Linked DNA regions of Drosophila melanogaster. The protein of the gene in region 1 interacts with the protein of each later gene in a biochemical or structural test. Each region holds a gene or a part of one and is shown in the gene's direction. Other genes may lie near its edges. The genes, in order: Khc and sgg.

What was found.
Region 2: of the proteins of Khc (region 1) and sgg, one has a biochemical effect on the other in vitro, tested with the Drosophila melanogaster proteins (one study listed by BioGRID).

What each region holds. Positions count from the first base shown.
Region 1 is NT_033778.4:16,270,334-16,274,255, reverse strand, and holds the start of Khc (kinesin heavy chain), read left to right. Parts: upstream 1-2,284; 5' UTR 2,285-2,770; coding exon 2,771-2,917; intron 2,918-3,922. Other genes in the region: CG33017 (uncharacterized protein), read right to left, coding at 1-1,551, 1,615-1,944. UniProt on the Drosophila melanogaster protein: Kinesin is a microtubule-associated force-producing protein that may play a role in organelle transport. Milt and Miro form an essential protein complex that links Khc to mitochondria for light chain-independent, anterograde transport of mitochondria.
Region 2 is NC_004354.4:2,644,694-2,648,615, forward strand, and holds the start of sgg (shaggy), read left to right. Parts: upstream 1-1,943; 5' UTR 1,944-2,178; intron 2,179-3,922.

The sequences.
Region 1 (3,922 bases):
GTAGGATCTTCTTCCTAAGTTGGATCGTTCACCTTGATCATTCGATTTTTGCACGGTCTTTGATTGAAAATCCTCTGGCATCGATTTAGTTTGCTCAGTTGGGATAAGATTCTGTCCAGATTGCTCATGCTTTTCTAATGCACTAGCTTTTGAAGAATATGTCTTCATTGGGTCCTGAGGTGGCGGTGCTGTGGCATTGCCTTTTTTGGCTGGCTGAAGCGGCCGAGTTGCCTTTTCCTGATTCCAAGACTTTGAAGGCGGTGCCATGGGCATCTGGGATGGGTTAGTAGAGGCATCTGGGGACTGTGCCTGTACCCACACATCTGTGGGCGCATCCTCCGCATTGATGCAATACACATGCTGTGGCTCCGGATACATAGATCGTCCGTAGTCATTCAGGTAAACCGTTTCATCATATGGAGCGTCTGGTGGAGCTGATCGAGAATAGTTCCTGGCATTCTGATCGACATGATGCGGTTGGTAGTAGTTACCGTGGGCGGGAGGCACAGTTTGATTGCAGTAAATGCACTGGCATCCATGGATATTGCAGCGCTGAACGTCTTGATTTACTTGGTTATAAGTGCAGTAACAACAGTTCGGAACTGGATGGCTGGTGTTATAGTAAGTTTGATCCGAAATCGGTTGAGTGTTGCTGTGTCGATCGGTGGTAGGATTGTTTGCATTGTTCGACAAAGTCCGATCCCTATACTTCTTCTGCAACAGCATTACGTTTAACTGATCCTCGCCTGACTGGCGGCGATTCTTCGTACAGCCGCAGCTTTGATTCCGAACGGAGTCTCCATCGTCGGAGTAACTGCCGGGTTGATTCTGTTGCTTGGCCAACTGGTCTAGAAGTCTCCCGCACACGGCATTATTATTTCGCTTCCAGCTGTCGCAGCACGACTTCTGATTGTCCTCGCCGATTACTTTACGGAACCTGGGCTTCCACTCTCCGCGTTTTTGGGAACATAGTCTGGGACCTGGCCATCTATCGCTGCGTATACCATTGCCGACGGACTCGTAACCATCCCAGTTGTCAGCACCGACGTACACATCATTTTGTTGCGTTTGCGATGAACGCTTTTCTGGGTTGTCTTTCGTGGGACATGAACATGGTTTCCCAGTTCGATACTGTTTGCTATCACTTTTTTGGAATTTATTTGACTGATCCTGTTCCTGATACCGATTAGACATCCTTGGGTTGGTACTGCCGCTTTCTCCGCCTTCTAAAGAGCTCTTACTTCCGAATTGAGGACGACTGCTTTGACCTCTTAGCTCGCACGCTTCACAAGGATCTTCGTCTTCCTCTGGCTTGCAACGAACACAGTACGCAGTGGGATACCACCGATCATTGCCGGACGTAGATCTTTCATGGTGCACACCTAAGAACTCTTCATTTGGTGGCTCAGGCTCTAGAATCATCTTGTAGAAGGTGTACCCGCACCTGGTTTCACTGCAGCTGGGACTTAAAAAAGCTAGAGGCGATATGAATGTGTCCTCCGAAAAATTGGGTGGGAAATGTCCTTCCTTAATGGGACAGTTAGCTTCCTCCTGTGTAAAAATAGAAGATAATGGTTCACTATTCAATATCCAGTGCAAAAACCATCCACTCACCTCCAAGTTTCCCAAGAAATGCAAGTCCTCGAAGTAGGAGTACCTTGGACTATAACTATAACCCTCAATTTGACTATTTCGGATGGCGGCCAATTCCTTGGAGTAGTAGTGCCGCAGACCGAGCACCTGCAGCTCCACCTGGTCAGGAGTCAGGCCGCAGTTCATCCGCCGGGTGATTTGTCGCCAGGCGTCATCCTTCGCAGAACCACTATGGAAACCAGGTGACTTTGGATTCCAGAGGCACTCGTTCGATCGATAAAGTCGGATGAGCTTCTGCGTCTTCTTCAATCGCTCCAAATTCAAATACGACGTAATATCCTTCTGTGCCATCGTGCCCCTCTGTTCTCCACAATCCTTTCCAGCGACTCGGTGATCAATCTTCCATAGCGTTTTCCTATTGAACCTACAGAGGTTGTATGCCTAGTTTGGAGCTATATATTGCGCCCAAGCCGAAATATTTGGACAGGAAAAACAAAAGTGACAATAAACAAGCAATTTTGAATAATTTTTGAATGATTTTTAAACGGTATCGCTTAATTAGGAATATTATATGCCGTTACCATTTTCAAGATCTGCAGGGTGTCTCATACATTCGAAGCTTTTGAGAGTATTAATTCAGTATTATTGTGCAATTAAATGGCGATTGGTATTTAGCTGGGCGAGCAGAACGGTCACACTGGCGCACAGTAGCGAAAATAATAGTCGAATAATAAAATAGTTTTGAGTGCAACTAATTCCGACCTACTAACGTATGCGAGTGCATTTAGCGGCTGCACTTAATCATTCCGGGCAAAAAAGTGCAAAACAGTACGACGCGGAGCAGTCAGAATCGAGGTTGCGCTCCAGCGTTATCGCCATTTGACCAATTCAACTTTTGTGTCTGGTATAACCACAAAATTTTCACTGCATCTTCTTATTTGAGCCGCCCCCAACCCAATTTTCGCGAGTGTGTCGGAATCAGCAGAGAATCGGAACAAAAGGGGCCAAACGGAGTACCAGAATCGGCACAAGCAAACAGTGAACAGCAGATAGTGCGGACGATAGCGAGTCCGTTGATTATCCACGTAAACAGTGAGCTGCATGCGCAGAGGTCGCGCCCAGAGCTGCAGAAATCCAACAATCTCCGCCAGAAAGATCTATCTCCGCCCTGTAAGCAATGTCCGCGGAACGAGAGATTCCCGCCGAGGACAGCATCAAAGTGGTCTGCCGATTCCGACCGCTGAACGACAGCGAAGAGAAGGCCGGCTCCAAGTTCGTGGTCAAGTTCCCCAACAATGTGGAGGAGAACTGCATATCCATAGCGGTATGTGTTCCAGATCTATAGTTTTCGCCAGCCCCCAGTGCCTTTTCCCTATGTGTTATGCATTAATCTCGGCGTGCCGCGCCATGACGTCATGCCTATTAGCGTACATTACCCTTCCCCAAAATTGCCGACCAATTGGAATGCCAGGCGATAAAAAGAGAGAGGCACTAAAGTTACCCATGAATAATTGCACAAAACAAAACTAGATGTACATATACATGTATATGATGAAACCAACTAACTTTACTCCAAATCAATATTGCTTTGCACCAAATTGATTTTCCCCCAGTCGAAAAAGAATAGGGTGTGTAAATCGAAAGAAGCGCGATGACGGGGTGGAGAAATGCCACCCACTAGACGGTTTTCTGCTAAAAGCGGGTGTTCCATTCTTTTGGGCCGCATAAATATGCGCTTTTCTAGTTTCCAGTCCGCCTTCAGTGCTTACCTCACTTACATTTCCACACAAACACATACACACATTGACGGTAGCCCCCGCTCCACTTCCACTCCCCTGTCCGCGCGCCAATGAGTCATGCACGCAAAGCATACAAAAAAAAAAAATATGAGGAAAAACAATAAGAGCAACTTTGGAGGCAATGGAATTTGGCTGTATTGCTTTTATGCCACATGAAATGTTATTGCTTTGTATGCTATGCTGAATTTCCCGCTTTTCCGCCAGGTGTAATCCGTCATATTCCTGGTAAAGCTTGGGCAATTGAACCAGTTCCAAAAAAGTCAGCACTAATATAGTGCCTCCATACACAGACATTATCATTACGCTCTCTCTCTCTCTCTGACTAACTCTATCTATCTCTCTTTCGCTGTGGCTTTCTTCTGGCGCTCGTTATTCACTATTCTTCCCCCTTCCACTTAACATGTCTTAATGCTCATAATTACAATCTGCTTCGCGGCCATGCGTTGAAAATGATTCAAAGGCAGTCAGCGGGAAAAGATCGGGGACAGGGGGAATGAATCTCCGAAAGAAATTTCACCGCAACTGACACC
Region 2 (3,922 bases), on another chromosome or scaffold:
GTCCTGCGATCGGCGACCTCCAAATGCGTTTTTCGGTTTATATATTGCGTGCACTTGGCGCTGCTCCAAATCCGCCATCCATAATTTATCAATGTTGTTTATAATTGAAGAAAGGCAAATTAAATTTATCTGTAAATTCGGCTACGAAATTCCTTGCGATCAACCAAAATAATAAACTCAGTCTAGCAAGGGCACAGACCTCATTCATGTGCGTGCAATACTTTAGCTTAGCTATTCTCGTAAGGTGGTTGTCTCAATTTATTGTCAAAATTCTGTTCTGCTTTAAATGCCAAAATTGTGTTCAAAATCTTTCGTCAAATATTCCAATAAATTAACTTCAAGGACGGACGGCCATCACCTTTTAGCCTTATTATCATTAAACAAAGCGCTACTTTCGCAAAACCATCGTTGCTATTTTGACTTGACCACAAGTCACTAGAATCAGTAACCATATCGGCCAACAAGAAGGCAGCTAAACAAGGACCCACTCGCGATGTGAAAGTCAAGAGCACGGCCATCGAGAGCGGCCCCTCCAAGCCCCCGCCGGACAAACATCTGGAGCGCCAGTTTGTCCAGTCGGTGAATAGTTAGTGTCCGGTCGCTTTGTTCAGCTGAAGTTATTGCTAATTATTATTAAGTTCTCGTAACTAATTTTGAATTTTCTTCTTCATTTTCTTTCCAGGTAAGTTGACTATCATATTACCAAACTTCCTATAAACGGGTAAGCAAAAGTCTGTTCTCCCACATTGAAGTCTATATATATATATATATGGTGATAACTGCTAAAAGCAAACTTATAGATTGTAATTGTTTTTAAGTGTTTAATTAGTTTATAAGTAAAAGCTACGTATATGTAAAGCTAGCCTAATTTCGCAGAATTTGTAGCTAGTGTTGCCCAAATGGGTTAAGTTACATGAGTTTATGTTATTTTGTTTACAAATGAAATTTGTGGAAATATGTACCAATACAGGGTTTAAGATTTCGATTGTGGCGAACATTTATGGCTGTGGCCTTGGGACTTGCATACTTTCGGGCGGCGCTCGTAATGAACCGGCTGCATTTTTCGATGCTTTCGCAATTAGCGGTGGTTAAAAGACCTCGCCACCCACATCCCCACCTCCCACATTCCCCACCCACTGAATTTTCCACTCTTTAACTCTTCTGTTTTTGTTTTGTTTTGTTGACTCATCGGCACGCGCGCTCTCATTTCGGCCTCTTTCTTTATCTCTTTCTCGGTTACCTAATTTTTGCATAAGTCGCGTCGCCGACACATGAGAAATTCCGGCGCAGCGTACTAACAAATACGCACACACTCGCACACTCGCACATGCAGCTAGCACACTCACGCACCGCATGCAAATTAGCTGTCCGCTGACTAGAAATTCTTTCGCGAGCGCTCTCTTTCCCGCCCCTTTGCTCTGTGTGCTCGCTCGCTCCCCACACGCCGCACACGCTCCCCCGCTTCCTCCCTCGCCGTTCGCCGTCCATGTGACGATCAATTTTAGCGCACATTGGGGCAAATGTGTGGAGCAAGCTGCCAGCGATGCTCTCTTTCGGGTGAGAAACAACATAAATACTTCTTTCATTTAATTCCATTTCCATTTGAGAAGCGAAGCAAAGCTTTCGGCCCACCGTGCAACGTTCAATGCTCCGGTACAGCTGCGGTCAGTCAGTTAGAAATCAAAGTTATATCAAATGTTCCTTGGAAGAGACCAAAAATGATGTGTCATGCCTTAGTAGAGACAAACTTACCTAGAAAGGTGCCTGTATTTATAAACTGGTGTTGACATTTATTTAAAGTTGTAGAAATATTGATTAGTTAGGTGGTCCTTCCGTTGCGAGCGCTGCTGTGCTGCGGGACGCCGGCGCAGGCGCTGCTGCGCTGCCGGCGACGCTGTCGGCTGATGTGAATGTGATGTAGATGCCCATGCTTCGACTCGCTCACTCGCGTTGAATCCATCGAGCAGGCGCGTCGTTCTCTCCTCTCGTTCCGGCGCGTTCCATTCAGCCATTCCGCGACTCTATTTGCCTGTTGTTTTTGTAGCTTTATCAGCGACAAAAAAAAAAAAAAACGAAACGAAACAAATATAAATATAAATAACAACGGCGAAACAAAAAGTGAAACAAAATCGTGACGCGCCTGATTACTTTATTTTTTGTGTCAACAGTGTGTGCAGTGTAATGTGTCTCCAAAAGAAAAATAAAAATTAGAAACTAGTCGAATTCAATATGCATTGAAATCTAATTAGTTGCCGCATTGTTGTTTTTGCCGCCTGACACCATTAGAAAATCACGAAAAGAGCTATCAACATGGCCTAAAGTGACCAATGAATTGGAGTTTATTTCACGGCGTTGTGAAATATGCTCCAACTTTAACCCAAAAACCCACACACACTCATTGCCAATGTATTAATGTTTTTTTTTATTTTTATTTATACTTGGGGGAGATGTGTATTTTTTTAGTGGGGCGAATGTTCTAGAAAGCTCTTTAAAGTACCTCGATTTGTGTGGGAATCTAACGCTCGTTGTTTGCCCCTTCCTCGCAATAGTTGTTTGTGAATATGTTGCGATGTATACGTATCCACGATTTCAGTGCATCTTCACTACCAAATCCAAGAAGAAGAAACTTAAAATTCATCAATGGAAAAGTTTTTGCAATCCCCCTGTCTCGCTCACTTGCTCTGGCCCCCTCAATCGCCGCTCTCTTTCCGCCGCAAGGCGCACAACAAGTGGCAAACCGAAGCGGCGGCGTCGTCTTCAAACCAGTTTTACTGTAGCGTTGTTGTTGCTGCTTCAGCTTACACTGAAAAAATAACGCAGTCAATAACGCAAATTAGTCCATAGCTTGTTGGTACCATTTCGTTTGTATATTTTATAAGCACATTTTGTAAACAGGAATTAATGGAGAATACGCAACACAAATCTAAGGCACGATTTCTAAAAAAGTTTAAATGATGTGGTGATTAATGTTTGTTTATTTATCACGACACTTAAATTGTTCTCTGTGTAATTCTGCGGCTGCTGCGTCTCCGCGATAATTGGTGCGGAGGTTGCCCCTTCAGCCCTCCCCCCAAACTCCTCCATCTACCATTCCATCTACCGTTCCGCCGATCAGTATTTGCTTTTATGGGCAAAAGTTCTTCAATGAGTGGTCACAGCATTTGTGAAGGGAGGGGGGCGGAGGGGGCTGCGGTACGTGCATGCAATTCCTTATTGGCGACAATGTTGAAATGTGTGCGCCTGTTTGAAGGAAAACACCAGAGATCAAACCAATAGCTTTAAAACTTTGATTGCCTTTTGATTAAAGCCATGTGGAACTTAGTGCCATCACCGTTATTGGGCAGATTCTAATTGGTTTTCCAAGTAAGATGCTGAAAATGCAATTTTTTCTCGTAACGTTAATCGGTGAACAGGGAATCCCCCTCATTGATCTCCCAGCGCAGTGGAGCCAAAGTCCTAAGTTTTTTCAGCATGGATGACAGTGCCTATTAGTGTGACCGCTGGTGTTTGTGGTGGCTTGGGCCAAAAGTGAATTATTCATGTTGTTGCTGCTGTCGCTCTGCCAGTGGAAAATTCCCAAAAAAAATTCGCATGAACTGCGCCGGCTGCTCCTCCGCTCCTCCGCTGCCCCACATGCTTCTCCTTCCACTCGTTCTTCTTCTTCTTTGAGTGCCCCCCAAAGGCAAAAAGTCGGAGTCGAAGTTACTTGGTGTGTTAGTTGTTGTTGCTCTTGCCCACTCATTCGCTTCGGTTTTTTTTTATTTTCTTTTCTTGTCTTTAACATTTTTTCTTTTTATAAAAATAGCACAGACGAAGAAATATTTGCACACACACACACACACCACGCACACACGTGTATTGTAGCATTTGCTAATTTTCTTCGTTTGTTTCGCTTGGCGTTTTTTGTTTGTTGATTCGCCTA